4 linked regions of the Saccharomyces cerevisiae S288C genome follow. The protein of the gene in region 4 purifies or fractionates together with the protein of the main gene of each other region. This does not show direct contact. Each region holds a gene or a part of one and is shown on either strand. Other genes may lie near its edges. The genes, in order: SNP1, SNU56, SNU71 and PRP39.

Region 1 (3,468 bases), on a different chromosome or scaffold from region 4:
TAAAATCCAGGCATTTATATCTTCAACCTCGCCAAACAATGTCAATTTTTTTAAAAAAAAACTCAATACCTACATCACCGCGAAATGCCTGAAGTAAAAGCATATAACAAACGCGACCCTTAAAATTACGTATATATATGTATATTTCTTTATACTAAGTTTTACTGGGCAGAGTATCATACAGTTCTTCTATCCGATATATAATGAACGATAGGTGTGACACCACTGACTTGAGTAATTCTTTCCAGCCACGCAAGCAAGACACCCCCTTGTTTCTGGCCCTGAGGTACGGACATTCCTTTGTAGAGATACTTTACCAGCACGTCCCTCTGAGAATCACTCAAATTTTTGATTACATTACCAATATCGGCTTGCCTGACTTGTGTCAATGCTTCAAGGACGCTCTTAAAATATTGCTCCTTTGTTGGAGCATCTGCACTGTATGGAGGATCGGTTGTGAGTAATTGAACGGCTCCCAAAGAGTCACCACTTGTGGCAAGCGAGCGCAATTGATTCATTCGAGGTTGTAATTCTTGTAATGTGACAGTAGTTTCGTATGGTGGTACCAGATCGGCAGCGGTTAGTCTGCCACTCTCTGGATCAAATGCATCGATGTCAATTCTCCTCCAATCGGCTTCCATTGCTTGATCGTTCGCGTGTGTTGTGTTGAGTCTTCTCTGGTCTCCTTTGCTATAGTATCTTGTGTTAAATGCGGGCTGTTTTTCTCTTATTTTGTTATAGGGGCAAAGTCTGAGAAAGGGAAAAAAGTATCCAAATTAACTGATGTGCGGGTAATCATAGACAACAAGTAGCAGAGTTTAAGTATTACTTATATTCAATAGTCGGGCGCTTCTTTGGGAGCTGGTTGAGACTCTCGAGTCCGTGAGTTTCTAGATTTATATACAGAAGTAACAGCAGCAGTAGGAGTGGCGGCGGAGAGCAATGGCCTGTTTCCACGGTACCTCGCGTCCAATGTGGAACTGCCGTATCTATCAGCGCTATATGCGGAGGAAGAAGTTTCCCTGCGTGGCAGCCTGGGAGCATAATTTCTTTCGGCGGGATTTGATGTACTTGCGCTTGCAAACCTTCCTGGAAGCCTGCTGTCTCTGTTGGAATAGCCTCTGCCTCCTAGGCCGCCGCCCAATCTTCTTGGCTTGAAATATTTAACGGTTCTGCCTCTTTCTATGTCGACTATGCAGATTCTGTCTTTGATTTGGATACCTCTGTGTACTCCAATCTCCTTGAATGCCATTTTACTACTTATTGGGTCTTTGAAAACTATGAAGGCGTAGCCTTTACTCTTCTGGGTTATCTTGTCCTTGACTATCCTAATTTTTTCGATCTCGCCAAACTTAACAAAATACTTTTGCAGTTCAATTTCGTCAAGATCGTATGGTAGCCTCCCAATAAATATCGTTCTGTAGGGATCTGTGTCCTTGATATGAGGGTCAACGTTAGGATTCCAATTTTGTAGTCTCCGGTCTAACAATTGAGCATTTTTGATCTTGGAAAGTTTGATGTCTTCGTATCTTTGGAGATGGTTGTTTGGAGATCCTTCAGGAAACTCCTCCATATAGTGCTTCAAAGAGGTTGATAGTAAGTTTGCAACGCCAGTGATATTTGGATTTGTTTGTCTCTTCGCATATGGGTAATCGGTTGGTCTTTTGTAAGATAAAGGTGGCCTTGGCTTGAAAAGTCTCGACACGTCGTCTGGATACTTGGATAGATTATAATTCATCAAGGTTGAGGTGCCGATTACTTTTTTAAGGTTTCCTTTCGACAGTCGATGACCGTGCTGTGTGTCATTATCTTGCAGTTCTTTTTTTCTTCAGATGCGTTAATTTCCTACGAAGGGCGCATACAATGGTGCTGATGGGATTTATGAGCAAAACAAGTAGGCGAGCAAGACATGAACGAAATTGTAATGAAGCGTACTTCCTTTTCCCTACAACCTTAAAAAGGTCTCACTGATATATCCATTCGCAATAATGACAAGATTTTTGCATGGGACTTCTTTTTTTCTTTTGAATAAGTCGCGTTATAAGGACAAAACATTAAAAAAAAATATGTATTGATTCACTGATTTATATATACAGAAGTAAGTACCGGGGTACCTAAATATACGCATAAAAGTCTCTTTCTTTTTTTTTTTTTTTTTTTTAGCTTCCTACATTTCGTTAATAATATTATATAGATTATATTTATATTTAAGAAAAGTAATATCAGCATATTATGAATAGACAAAAAAGTCTAAGGTCAAGATTTATTAAATGTTAGATTATTAAGATTACAATTAACAACATTTGTTGTTACTTCATAAAATTTCGTTACTTCATAAAAGAACTACAGTCCCCCACTTCTAAATGAGTGGTTGTAGGGGTTCATATACCTCCCATACTGTTGGAATAAAAATCAACTATCATCTACTAACTAGTATTTACGTTACTAGTATATTATCATATACGGTGTTAGAAGATGACGCAAATGATGAGAAATAGTCATCTAAATTAGTGGAAGCTGAAACGCAAGGATTGATAATGTAATAGGATCAATGAATATTAACATATAAAATGATGATAATAATATTTATAGAATTGTGTAGAATTGCAGATTCCCTTTTATGGATTCCTAAATCCTCGAGGAGAACTTCTAGTACATTCTACATACCTAATATTATTGCCTTATTAAAAATGGAATCCCAACAATTATCTCAAAATTCACCAACTCTTCACATACATACCTGCGGTAGCAAGATAGGTACACTTTTTCTACGTTTCACGAAGGTAGCGATAGGTACCTCACTCATTGTAGGTGCGGGGGTAGCGATGGAGGTTTCTGTACCATTACCACCACAGCCACTATACTCACGTAGTGAAGTCCCTAGCGTGGAATTGTGTGGTATCGTTGCTATCTGTCGTTCGCCACCCTCGGTATATCCAACGTGCAGGCCAATATCACTCTCTAAGAAAATCGTATCAGGATTGGTACGGACAAACTCTTCATAGCCTACGTCGAAATCAAATTCTGCTAAAGCTGTGACTGTAGTTAAACCTAAAACCGCGATTATTGCTTGAAAAACTGTGGAGAAATTCATGATGGACGGTCACGTTCAGGGTCTGAGAAAACCACTCATTCCTATGTCCCATGTGGTTGGTTGCAATTTGCTGCTATATATACGACTTGGCTGTAGAGAGATCTACGTAGGATGTGTCCACTATCAAGGGGGGTTTACCAACGTTATCTTCTATTTTAAGTGCTCAAATGAAGGTTGCATTATATCCCTGGCAGTTTTCCCGGCAATTTTGCCGGCCGCTTATAATAGTCATGGTGAAAGGATTGTTGCTTGTTGTGGTTGCAACATGACAGTTGCCTACTAACTAAATAATAATCAAAGTCAGTTTCTCAACAATGGAAAACCTGTTGTGACCTTATCGAAGTAACAACATCGTATAATAATTAATCTGGAAA
Region 2 (4,019 bases), on a different chromosome or scaffold from region 4:
GAAATGTGCATTTGAATTTGCGCTTGTTGTGAAGGGGTTGGTTCTCTGCCCAATGATGTTGTTTTCTTGTAAATATTCAATTCCTTTGTGATCGTTTCCTGACGCTTCCTTGGACTGTGTTAATTCAAGAGAATCTCCTAAGGTATCCTCAGCATTCAAAAATGGATTAGTATTCTTTAATGTTTCCTTTTGTAATGGTGCCTGGATAGAATGGCTCCTGCTATGAGCATTCCTATTTGGACTTCTTGGCGGTATATCAGGGGCAGAAGTTTCAGCCGTCGAAGTTCGTGCGATATTTGTTGATTTCTTTATTGTAGAGGGCACCGATGGCTTTCTAACGGATTTTTCAGAGTCATTGTTTTTACTTTCAGAACCAAACCGAAAAAAAGACCTTCGTTTACCTTTATTGTTGCTAAAGCCATCAAACATCACTGTATTATTAGACTTTACCTGTAGACTCCTTCAAAACCTGTAATTCGCTTTGCAGAACATGCTATTTCAACATTTTCCCTCTTAAACTTTTGCCAAATAATAATAGTGCGCTCTTTGAATCCGCGATGACATTTGAAAGAAAACATTAAATTAAACTATCGCTTTGCATACGGAGCAAATGCCATGAAAGAGAAAAAATAACCAAAAGGTTTTTTAAATATATCTATACACCTCCACTGTTATATGCGACTCAATGTTCTAATATATTCAATATCAGCTCTAATGCTTTGACTATATATTCACCGACTCCACCAATACTAATAACGCGGATGGTACTTGGGTGAGGCGCCTGAGCAAAAATAGTGTAATTTGTTGTATTTAAAGATTCAAGCCACATTTGTGACTCGTGAAGATTATTCAGATTCAATACGACGATATTACAATTTGTCTTTGATCGTAGATCATTTAGATTTTGATAAACAATATCAATATAATTTTGTCTTGGACACCTAACGTATGTCTTTAGAATCTGATACGAAGACTTCTTTTTCACTGCATCCATAGAAGCTTTTATGGTACCAATGCAATGTTGTTTGATTTCATCCTGCGTCATAAAACCCGGTTTATTACCTTCACTATACCTTCCGTCCTCAAAAGTTTTTGGCCCGGAATGACGATTGGAAGAATTCAATACATTTGATGGCTTATTAACAGCGTGTCTCTGTGGTTGTGTTTGATATGAAGTTGCACCTGCTTCAATAGTTTGAGAAGAGGAAATTGAATTTGAAGAGGGCGAATTCGATAAAGGTCTTTGTTGTCGTGGAAATTGATCTCCTTGAAGGCCACTTATTTCGTTATATGCCTTCATTTCAGAAATATGTTTAATCATTTGAGCTTTTGATGTTTCTATAATTGGCCTGGTTTTACTAATGTACGACTTTATATCAAACAAGCCATCGCCAATTAATGGAAGTTCGTAGAGGGCAAGTGATATCTGTGAATAAGTGCGGTTATATTCACGCTTAAAGTAGTTTATCACGTTAGCTTCACACTTGCCAAATTCTACTTGTGAAAAAAAATTAGAAAGCTCATTCATGAACTTACTTACATGACAAGCCTTAACTTGAAACTGTTGAAAATCTGGAACAACATTGAAACCAACTTCTACAATACTGGATGAGGGCTGCTCTCTTCTATAGCTTGTTATTATATGGCCTCTACCAGTTTCTATATTCTTGGGCAAATAAAACGAACCTGTCAAGTTAATATTCTTAGGAACTCTAAAGTATGATTTTTCGGATGGTGCCATCCATAATCGCTTCTGGAAAGCAAGCAGAACTGATAATACGAAGCAAGAGTCCAATATATTGAAGTCCTTCAAAACTATGTAGAAAAGCATGCCTTCATCTTTCTGCTCTTTCTGTGGATAACATCGTAATATATCCTTCGATATATACTTATGCAATTCATCCATGCACTCGTCGAACTGTTGTTTATCTTCCGTTCTCATGGGGAGTATGAGCAGACTACCTTTTATGAATTGCCCTGCATTCTTCTTAGTCGACCTTATCCTATCTAGGTTTTTCCATATATCAAAAGATTGGAATGCTTCAGAATTACCGACCTTCCTTCTTTGGCCATCATTGGATGTCGTAGGATAATGTCCTTGTGAAAGTTGTCCCTTCGGCTTGGTATGATGATACGCTAATCCTCTCCTTCTTGGGCGCATGATACTAATATTTTTTGCTTATATTAGTCGAAGGGAAACTGTTTCTCAACGTCAAACTTCTACTATAGTATATAATATAACTTTAATGTTTTCTACACTGCGATGCGCGCTGAAAATTCTAGCTCAAATAAAAAAAAGGTTACAACAAACCAGTAGCAATCATGAGAATAAGAAATATGAAGAAGTAATTAAAGATCATGTTGGAGTAAAAATCCAAAATATCATCTGTTTATTAGCATTCGTGTTAGTAGTATATTATCAAATGCGGTGTAAGAAGATGACATAAAGATTGAAAGACAGTCATCAAATGGAAGAGGAAATGCAACAACTCATGATGTAATAGGATAATGTCACATAAAAAATGGAAGATGAGATTATAATATTATTACGTAAGAATACCGATCCTCTTTTGCGGGTTCTTATATCTCGGGGAGAGCTTCTAGTACATTATTCATTCATAATATTATACCTTTACCAAGGATTGAATCCCAACAATCATCAAATTATTCACCCCTTTCTCAGGTCACTGGTTTGAAGCAAGTAAACTACATCTTCTTATACCGTATGCGATAATATACTAATAATATAAATACTACTAAATAGATGATGCTAGAATTCCATTAGAACTATAGTATACCATTTAAGTATTTATATTGCTATTGTAATATCTTATGAAAAGTTAATGTTCATCTGTCCCAACAATCTCTAACAAGTACAAAGATGACACGAGTTATGAGGCGCTGTCATAGGAACCTCCAAACAAGTTTGATATTAATTATAAGAAACATATTTCAAGCCCTCGTGTTGTATTACGGGCTCGAGTAATACCGGAGTGTTTTGACAATCCTAATATAAACAGTCTTAGGGAAGTAACCAGTTGTCAAAACAGTTTATCAGATTAATTCACGGAATGTTACTTATCTTATATATTATATAAAATATGAATCATACTAAGTGGTGGAAGCGCGGAATCTCGGATCTAAACTAATTGTTCAGGCATTTATACTTTTGGGTAGTTCAGCTAGGGAAGGACGGGTTTTGTCTCATGTTGTTCGTTTTGTTATAAGGTTGTTTCATATGTGTTTTATGAACGTTTAGGATGACGTATTGTCATACTGACGTATCTCATTTTGAGATACAACACCTCGCAAGAAATCGACTCTCGGTAGCCAAGTTGGTTTAAGGCGCAAGACTGTAATTTATCACTACGAAATCTTGAGATCGGGCGTTCGACTCGCCCCCGGGAGATTTTTTTATGTCAAGCACCTACTTTTAGCCGGCTTTCTGGAGATAAGTTCCCAGTAGTCGTTGTATTTGATTCTCTATTGGATAGTCAATGACACATTCGTGACCGAACAATGAGATATTATTGAGTACCGGGAGTATTATGTGTCATAATTTGTAGTATTATCTGTGTGACGGATTAAGTTTGCTATCTCAAATGCCGCGCGCGCGAATTGCTCATGATATAATAATAGCTAATAATATGATAATATGATAATAATAGATAAGATTACTGATAACATTATTTTAGTATTCAAAAGCGTATTACATATATATAGTCGAGTAAATACTTTTTTTTCAATGGGGAGTGGAAGGGACAGCCGCTCTGACCTGTTATTAACGACAGACAACACGGTACCAAAGTTATACAATGACTGTGCACTCAACGTGGAAGGAAAAAGTTCAATTAAAAAAAGATCAACTGAACAGTAAGATAAAAGACGAATGGAAATTAAACAGCACAACTATAACGAGGTTGAAGAACGATAAAAAAAATTTAATCAAGAATATCGATGATTTATGCTCATCTTCAGAAAATCAGATCACCCACTCCACGATTATGGCCTTGAGACAG
Region 3 (4,722 bases), on a different chromosome or scaffold from region 4:
GAAAGTGCGGCTTTTCATCAGACGTGGAATGTCAGTTCAATATCTTCTTCCAAACTCTGTCATCCGTTACATCCAAGAGTATAATCTATACATTAATCAAAGTGAACCGGTCAAGCAGGTCTTGGATAGCAAAGAGTGAGTTTATTACAACTCTGATACTGCAGCAGTTCAAATTTACCACTTTCCTCTTCAAGGTGCATAGAAAAAAAGTTCCTGGATGCACGATTTAAAATGTTTACAGCAGAGCAACAATCATGTGAACAATGTCAAACATTTATTTTAACACTTAATAATTATAATATAACCACACCAGCGGTAAGTTTCATAAGGAAAACCTTTCAGACAAACATTCCAGTGAATCGTATACGTAAATCAGCAAAATTAGCTTATAAAATACAGAATCCGAAGATACTTGATCTACTCGCGTTACTATTAATGCGGGTAATGATCTATATTGAATTTTGCACGTCTATAGTAACTTAAAAGTCTTGTAATATTTGAAGTAACAATGCCGTATAATACTGCATAATAGCCCTATCAATCGGAATATACCAAAACATCCTTTATGTCCTGTTCTCAAAATAAGACTTCTGTCAGTCTGGCCTGGCGTGAATGCATATCCATCGCTTCCGTCCTAATTGGCGCGTATGCATCATACAAATACTATAAGCTGTTCAAAACACGCGATATTCCACGTCCAAAAGAAGGCGTTGAAGAACTCATAGGAAACACTCCTCTGGTTAAGATCAGATCTCTTACCAAGGCTACTGGAGTTAACATTTACGCTAAGTTGGAGTTATGCAACCCAGCAGGAAGTGCTAAGGATAGAGTGGCTTTAAACATCATAAAGACGGCTGAGGAATTAGGCGAGCTCGTCAGAGGTGAACCTGGCTGGGTATTTGAAGGAACAAGTGGGTCGACTGGTATCTCTATAGCAGTGGTCTGTAATGCGTTGGGTTATAGGGCACACATTTCTTTGCCCGATGACACATCGCTAGAAAAATTGGCATTACTAGAAAGCCTCGGTGCTACTGTTAATAAGGTTAAGCCCGCTAGTATTGTCGATCCAAACCAATACGTAAATGCCGCCAAAAAGGCATGTAATGAACTAAAGAAGAGTGGTAATGGAATAAGAGCAGTTTTTGCCGATCAGTTCGAAAACGAAGCCAACTGGAAAGTACATTACCAGACCACAGGCCCAGAAATTGCCCATCAAACTAAGGGAAATATTGACGCATTCATTGCTGGCTGCGGTACTGGTGGCACCATAACTGGTGTGGCAAAATTCTTAAAGGAAAGAGCAAAGATACCTTGCCATGTCGTTCTAGCGGATCCACAAGGATCTGGCTTTTATAATAGAGTCAACTATGGCGTGATGTATGACTATGTAGAGAAGGAAGGTACTAGAAGAAGGCATCAAGTTGACACTATCGTAGAAGGGATTGGGTTAAACAGAATCACTCATAATTTTCATATGGGCGAAAAGTTTATTGATGAATCAATACGAGTCAACGATAATCAAGCCATTAGAATGGCAAAATACCTATCGGTAAACGACGGGCTATTCGTGGGGAGTAGTACAGCTATTAATGCGGTAGCCGCTATTCAGGTTGCAAAAACGCTTCCTCACGGCTCAAACATTGTGATTATTGCATGCGACAGCGGTTCAAGACACCTAAGTAAATTCTGGAAAGAAGCTAAAGAAATCGATCACGACGTGTCATTAGAAGAAGTAATAAATATCTAACATAGATGTATAAATCAGTACTGAGTTATCTTCTATTAAATTGTAGGAACAAATATAAAAAAGCAGTTTTCGCTGCTACATTTTTTGCTACTTTCCGTGGTAATGATGCCCGCTAAAAAGTGCAAAAGTAATTAGATAGATCAAGAACAAAAACAGACCAGGACCAAAATCAAGCTCATAAAAGTTCCTTAAGAGTACGTCGATTTACAGAACATGAGGGATATTGTATTTGTATCACCGCAGCTGTATTTGTCATCACAGGAGGGTTGGAAAAGTGATTCTGCCAAAAGTGGGTTCATCCCTATCCTCAAAAATGATCTACAACGTTTTCAGGACTCATTAAAACATATAGTTGACGCCAGAAACAGCTTATCAGAGACACTGCTAAATAGCAACGATGATGGGAGTATACACAATTCTGACCAGAATACTGGTTTGAATAAAGACAAAGAGGCTTCAATAGCAGATAACAATAGTGCTAACAAGTGCGCCACAAGCTCTTCCCGTTACCAAGAGCTCAAACAATTTCTTCCCATTTCCTTAGACCAACAGATTCATACAGTATCTTTACAAGGTGTCTCTTCATCATTTTCTCGCGGACAGATAGAATCATTGCTAGACCACTGTTTGAATTTAGCGTTGACTGAAACTCAAAGCAATTCCGCATTGAAAGTAGAAGCTTGGTCTTCTTTTTCTTCGTTTTTAGATACCCAGGACATTTTTATAAGATTCAGTAAGGTTGATGAAGATGAGGCATTTGTTAATACGCTGAACTACTGCAAAGCCTTATTCGCGTTTATTAGAAAGCTACATGAGGATTTCAAGATTGAGTTACACTTGGATTTGAACACAAAAGAATATGTCGAAGACCGAACAGGAACTATACCGAGTGTTAAGCCAGAAAAGGCTAGCGAATTTTATTCTGTTTTCAAAAACATTGAAGATCAAACAGACGAAAGAAATTCAAAGAAAGAACAGTTGGATGACTCTTCCACACAATACAAAGTGGATACAAACACTTTAAGTGATTTGCCATCGGATGCTTTGGACCAATTGTGCAAGGATATAATAGAATTTAGGACAAAAGTTGTCAGTATAGAGAAAGAAAAAAAAATGAAAAGTACGTACGAGGAAAGTAGGCGTCAAAGACACCAAATGCAAAAAGTTTTTGATCAAATAAGGAAAAACCACTCAGGAGCCAAAGGGAGCGCCAATACAGAGGAGGAGGATACTAATATGGAAGATGAAGATGAGGAGGATGACACTGAAGACGACCTTGCCTTAGAGAAGAGAAAAGAAGAAAGAGACCTGGAAGAATCAAATCGTAGATATGAGGATATGTTACACCAATTACATTCCAATACAGAGCCTAAGATAAAATCCATTAGGGCTGATATCATGAGTGCTGAAAACTATGAGGAACATTTGGAGAAAAATCGCTCATTATATTTGAAGGAGCTATTACACCTTGCCAACGACGTTCATTACGACCACCATAGATCTTTCAAGGAGCAAGAGGAAAGAAGGGACGAAGAGGATAGAGCTAAAAATGGAAATGCAAAGGAACTGGCGCCTATACAACTATCGGATGGTAAGGCCATATCTGCAGGGAAGGCTGCCGCCATCACCCTTCCTGAAGGCACTGTGAAGAGCGAGAACTATAACGCGGACAAGAATGTGTCTGAGAGCTCAGAACACGTCAAGATCAAATTCGACTTTAAGAAGGCTATTGATCACTCAGTTGAAAGCTCTAGCGAAGACGAGGGATACAGAGAGAGCGAGCTACCTCCAACAAAACCCTCCGAGAGAAGCGCGGCAGAGGACCGTTTGCCATTTACAGCAGATGAACTGAACATAAGACTAACTAATCTGAAGGAATCGCGCTACGTGGACGAACTGGTGCGTGAATTCCTCGGCGTCTACGAGGACGAGCTGGTGGAATACATTCTTGAGAACATCCGCGTGAACCAGAGCAAACAGGCCCTTTTAAATGAGCTAAGGGAGACTTTCGACGAGGACGGGGAAACGATAGCTGATAGACTGTGGAGTCGTAAAGAATTTCGCTTGGGGACCTGAAACAGAAGGGCCTTGGCGCGCGTCCCAAAAGGGAAAGGCTCGCTCTGAAACAGGCGAAGACACGAAAACAAATTACCGTTTCGGGGCGTTTTGCAGCAAGTGGCTAGACACGTCGGGCGTTGCCAGATCAAAATAGCACCAGTGGGTGTTTTTTTACTATCTCATCTTCGTGCTGATATATATAACTTTTATACATTTCCATAGTACCAAGTTCTTTATTTCCTGCATTTTTACATTTATAATAGATTACCAAAACTATTCGACCTCACCAAGGGACCCCATAATATTGCTAAAATAATCTTACCTGTTTTTTACCATTTTTTTCTTTTTTTCCAGAAGTAATAAGCTCTCTCTTAGAAGAACTAAAAGCATCTGACTTCGGCTCGTTCCAACCGACCAAAATATTTGTGAAAATATTATTCATTCCTTTAACGACTTATTGTGTATTCTGTTCATCTCTAGCTGGCTTCCACCTCGTTTCCTATTTTTATTGACTTTTCATTAGGCTTCCTAATTATACCCATCTATGCAGTTTCCATTCGCTTGTCTCCTATCGACCCTTGTAATTAGTGGGTCATTGGCCCGGGCCAGCCCCTTCGACTTTATATTCGGCAATGGAACGCAACAAGCTCAGAGCCAAAGCGAGAGTCAAGGTCAAGTTTCTTTCACCAATGAAGCTTCTCAGGATAGTTCCACCACCTCTTTGGTAACAGCCTATTCTCAAGGTGTTCATTCGCACCAGTCTGCAACAATAGTGAGTGCCACAATCTCTTCCCTCCCATCTACTTGGTATGATGCGAGCTCCACTTCCCAGACTTCTGTGTCATATGCCAGTCAAGAATCCGACTATGCCGTTAATCAAAACTCTTGGAGCGCGTCTACTAATCAACTGCCATCTA
Region 4 (4,668 bases):
ATGTTCCAACAAATACCAATAAAGATCGCGCAAGTGGTTTAGTGGTAAAATCCAACGTTGCCATCGTTGGGCCCCCGGTTCGATTCCGGGCTTGCGCATATTTTTTTTTAATTCACCAAAAATATTTAATGTTTAGAAGTTGTTTTACATATTTGGACGTTTTCAAAATATCCTGACGATAGAAACAATCATTAATAGTCTTTACATATAAACAATATTTATCAAATTTTTCTGATTATATAACCATCAAAAAACACAGAAAAGGCCTGTCATTTCGATTTACGTAAACTAAATTAATAATAAATTTATTTCATCTACCTGTTTTACTCTTCATATTATTTGATTTCTGCGATTTAATAGAATCTTACCAACCTCTAATGTTTTTTGAATATATTTTAATTTAACAGGTTCAATAGTTACTTTTTTATTATAAATAATAACTTAAAATATTACATAAACTATTATTTATATTATCATACAATAATTTATTATATAATTATTTATTAACTCTACCAATATAGAATAAAACATTTTCAATAATAAATTATAAACAAGTAAATATTTGGGTACTCCTTCGGGGTCCGGCCGAGTAAATTATTATTTTAAATATAATTTATGATTTATGATTAATTTCATTTACCTTCCTTAAGAAATTCTTCAGTGTATAGATCATTAATCTTGACCTGATTAATTTTCTCCAAGTTTCTAAAATTAGGCAAACTGATGGGCTTTTGAATCAAAGTTCCTGAATTGCACTCAATTATACTGTTGGATATCTGCGGTCTTTCTGTCGTTATGCCGATGTGACCAGCCTCCTTCCATTCCGTCTTTTTATGCCAATCTACATTTGCTGTAGTATTTAATACTGGATCGTATTTTGGATTCGACATTTTCAGCTCAGGGTACAAGATAGGGTCAAATGTATTTGAATCTATAATGGAGGATTCATACGTGACGATATTTGAATGAGTTAAATAGAAAGTCTTATAATCCGTCAAAATATCATTCATTACTGTAGTCGGCAAGTATATTTCTACCCCAAGCTCCCTAATGAATTTATTCAGCTTGGTAAAATTTACATTACTCTTTTCAAATTTGTAGTAAGTTAACCAGAACGGTACAGAATTTTTAATGAGGATGTTTTTTTGATAAAGGTTGAAATATTTCCTTGTTTGCATATTATTTTTAAGTACAAGCCATGTAGTTTTTATCAATTCTACCACGACTATGCTTAAGTTTTTATCATTTATTAAGGTCTGTAAATGCACCTTGGCATCAATTTGATTATTGATGTAGTTGGTGATTGATGTCTCTAGGATTTTAGTAAACGATGTTTGTTTCTCTAGAATTTCCTTTGGCGATTGATCTAAGGAATTCTTAAAAGAATGTCTTTTCAACATACAAAGGTACTCCGTCATAAGTAATATGTCGTTGGGCCAAATCTTTAAATAACGCGATACTGTCTCATTGAATATGTTATTGAATAAGGTATTATTTGACCGATATTTTCTTTTCAAAAACCTAAGAAAATCATACCTCAAAGTTTTGAAATCCAGTGGTAAGAACGTATTGGCTTTTTGGTATATATCCACTACCACTTCATCGGATATATTTTTCTTTGTTAGCCACTTAATATACATCATCCACGTATTTTCATGGTAAAGACAAGGAATCAAACATCTGTCAAAAACGGACATTACGAATTCTTTATCCAAGGATTTTGAAGGATCCGTCACAAATTTTAAATATCGCGACCAATTTTCCAAATCATCATTTAACACTTGGCCCAGGTTGAAGAAGGGCTGTTTGATTTTCGATTCGAACTGCCAAATTTCATTTACTGTTGTTTGTGTTTTTCGTAAAACTATATCAATATTCCTTGTTGTCTTCAAATTTTTTTCATTTAAAAACTTCTTGTAAGATGTGAAAAACCGCGCATACTGATGTAGAGGAACTTCAATAATGTACTCGTATATTCTTTGAACGTTATGCCAATTCTTCTGCCCAACTTCAAATTCTATAAACTTGTCCCAAAAAGGGTGTGATAGAAACTGCTTGCCAATAAGATCCTTTGCAATTTCAAAATTATTCCTAATAAAATCCGTTTCGTTCGGGTTATTAACACACAACACATTCAAATAATCACACCATAACTCCAGAGAAGTTGGGAACCATTTGACCGAGGTGGCCAGAACAGCAATCGATTTCTTGAGACCAAATAACTGGTACTCAATAGTAGCAAACCTCTTCCAAAATCCAAACAATAAAGGGTACTTACGCAATATTTGCCATAAAATAGTTTCCAAGGCCAATTTGATTGAATCATTTGGATTGCCATATTTAACCACTGTTTGCTCTATAACATCTACCATTTGGGTCAACGAAGAAATATCTGACCAGTCTAAACCACGATATGCTTGTACTAATGCTGTGTTGTCTTGAAGGAACTGGGTGTCCAAACCTCGAAGGGCATCAGGCCTAGGCTCAATATCTTCTATTGTAAAATTTGTTTCATCTGGCATAACGAAAGACGGATTGCCAAGTATCCAATAGCAGTAAGGGCCAAAACTTTTTGTTGAACAAAGAAATGGCTGTGGAAGGCGCGTTTTTACTTTAGGACTTTGAAAACTTTCTTGCGTAAATTCTGTTTAAGTCTGAAACTTTCAACTCTGTATTAAATTTGTTTTAAGATGTGCGACGGCGACGTAAAATGGTAAAGAAAAAGAAAATGAATGATAGTAAATCATACTGAAAACGAATGATCTGAAACAATAAAAAAAGATATTTGTATATAAATTATTCAGCCATGCTCAAACCTCCAGATTAAAAATCAATAATGGATTAATTGAAAGCCCTGGAGCTGGCATTTTTTACCACATTGTCTAAGAGGGAAAGGAAAATGACAACAAAGCGCTAAATAATGGAATCAAGTTTACAAAAATTGAAATTCCAGGATATTGACATAAATCTTATTCCTACTGCGAAGTGGACCACAAAATTACAGTATATTCTATACACCTGGTGTCAGTCGATACTACATGTGGCCATGTTTTTTTCTGATATATACACGTGTATTAAATTACTGGCATTTAACACATGGTCGAACAATATCATCCAACCATTCTTGGAATTCCGTATTTCAAAATGGTTGTTTAGCGGATGCATATTATGCTCCTCATTAATATTAATTTGGGAGTTGGTAATTGGATTGAGAGTGTATAGGAAGAAAGAGATTACATCGAACTACATGAATGGCATTAGCAGATTAATAAATTGCTTGTTCAATTTCAAAAAGTATCAAATTTTCGAACTAATAGTGCTGACTGATGAGAAAAAATTCAGTAAGTGGTTATTCTTTTCATATTTTGAAATCAGTGGATGTTTGAGGCTATTGTTCGGTGACTCTCCAAGGCAAATAATCAACGGATTAACTTTGTGGTCAGTTTTACTGACAGTTTCGAATGAGACCAGTAGCGGAACCCATAGTACTCAAAGCCTAGGTAATTTAGATGACCTAAATGGAATAATAAACAAGATAAAACATATTGCTAAGACAAATTACGAAGAAAGTGTGATCTTGTCCTTCATGTTGTTCTCGTTTATCATATGGGTAATTTTAATAAGCAAATTAATTCTAAGCATAATAATATTCATCATTTTTATACGTCCGAGATTTTTGTCTAGTAAAAGGAAGGTTAAGGGGTATGAATTGAAACTACGAAAGTATGTGTCTAAAGTCATTGACGAGAATTTAAGTAGAACTGTCTACGAATTGGGAATATTGATAGATGATGAGGAAGAAGGGACCATATGTGGTGACAACAAAACGCAAAAAAAATTCGATTATGATAGTCCTGATTATGGCGACGAAAGCACAATACCGAGTTACTACTGCTACTCGGATGTAGAAACGTACGAAAGAGTATATACGCCCATAAAGGCATATTTCCCCCAGAAATACAAACATAAATACATATAAATGTAAACGAAGCTTTTTTTGACTGCAAAAATGCATTAAAAGTAAATCGATTCTCATTTATTGTATATATATTGTATATATTGTATGAAATATTTATAATGATAATGATAGTAACAAAAACCATTGATGGCTATAAACAATGAAACAAAAAAAAGCACTACGAAAACAGTAGATTCGTGAGGAATTGAAAAAAAGAGTGAAAAAACTAATAAAAACAACGAGAGTAAATAGGATAGTACAAAAATACTAGGAGTAAAAAAAGGCCCTCTAGTAGTAGTAATAGTAATAGTAATAGTAGTAGTACTAGTAGTAGTAGTAGTAGTTAAAGGCTATGGTTGAATAAAAAAAAAGTCTGGATGGTAGTGTTTTGGTTTTACAATTAATTAGATTTTTTCAAATCATTCTTTTTTATACCAAAAGTAGCATCATTGTTTGATGCTTTCTCTTTCTCATCAGCAATTTCTCTTCTGAGCTTAACTAGCGAGGCCAGTTTTTCATCTGGTTCATAAATACCAAACCTTCTAAACCTCCTAATTTCAGCATTCATCTTACCAATATCCCCGTCATACTCTTCCAAGATCTTCTTTAGATTGTTTTCCAGCTCCACAAAGTATTCTTCACTTAAAATGAATTTCCGTTCGGTTTTAATAGCCGTGAAAGTGGAAGCAGTGAACCTATCTTCTAGAGGA

Evidence for each region.
Region 1: the proteins of PRP39 (region 4) and SNP1 purify together in Saccharomyces cerevisiae (affinity purification with mass spectrometry; 6 studies listed by BioGRID, with this or other methods). This does not show direct contact.
Region 2: the proteins of PRP39 (region 4) and SNU56 purify together in Saccharomyces cerevisiae (affinity purification with mass spectrometry; 5 studies listed by BioGRID). This does not show direct contact.
Region 3: the proteins of PRP39 (region 4) and SNU71 purify together in Saccharomyces cerevisiae (affinity purification with mass spectrometry; 5 studies listed by BioGRID). This does not show direct contact.

Annotation. Positions count from the first base shown.
Region 1 is NC_001141.2:243,822-247,289, forward strand, and holds SNP1 (U1 snRNP complex subunit SNP1), read right to left. Parts: upstream 1,739-3,468; coding exon 836-1,738; downstream 1-835. Other genes in the region: ARC15 (Arc15p), read right to left, coding at 177-641; YIL060W (uncharacterized protein), read left to right, coding at 2,571-3,005; YIL059C (uncharacterized protein), read right to left, coding at 2,729-3,094. UniProt on the Saccharomyces cerevisiae protein: Involved in nuclear mRNA splicing.
Region 2 is NC_001136.10:942,992-947,010, forward strand, and holds SNU56 (Snu56p), read right to left. Parts: upstream 2,162-4,019; coding exon 683-2,161; downstream 1-682. Other genes in the region: YDR239C (uncharacterized protein), read right to left, coding at 1-429; AMD2 (putative amidase), read left to right, coding at 3,816-4,019. UniProt on the Saccharomyces cerevisiae protein: Component of the U1 snRNP particle, which recognizes and binds the 5'-splice site of pre-mRNA. Together with other non-snRNP factors, U1 snRNP forms the spliceosomal commitment complex, that targets pre-mRNA to the splicing pathway.
Region 3 is NC_001139.9:512,594-517,315, forward strand, and holds SNU71 (Snu71p), read left to right. Parts: upstream 1-1,960; coding exon 1,961-3,823; downstream 3,824-4,722. Other genes in the region: nicotinamide-nucleotide adenylyltransferase NMA2, read left to right, coding at 1-139; MCY1 (putative cysteine synthase), read left to right, coding at 566-1,747; MSB2 (Msb2p), read left to right, coding at 4,350-4,722. UniProt on the Saccharomyces cerevisiae protein: Component of the U1 snRNP particle, which recognizes and binds the 5'-splice site of pre-mRNA. Together with other non-snRNP factors, U1 snRNP forms the spliceosomal commitment complex, that targets pre-mRNA to the splicing pathway.
Region 4 is NC_001145.3:179,328-183,995, reverse strand, and holds PRP39 (Prp39p), read right to left. Parts: upstream 2,523-4,668; coding exon 633-2,522; downstream 1-632. Other genes in the region: pheromone-regulated K(+) transporter PRM6, read left to right, coding at 2,921-3,979; GSF2 (Gsf2p), read right to left, coding at 4,359-4,668. UniProt on the Saccharomyces cerevisiae protein: Function prior to stable branch point recognition by the U1 snRNP particle to facilitate or stabilize the U1 snRNP/5'-splice site interaction. Has a direct role in the assembly or function of a catalytically active spliceosome.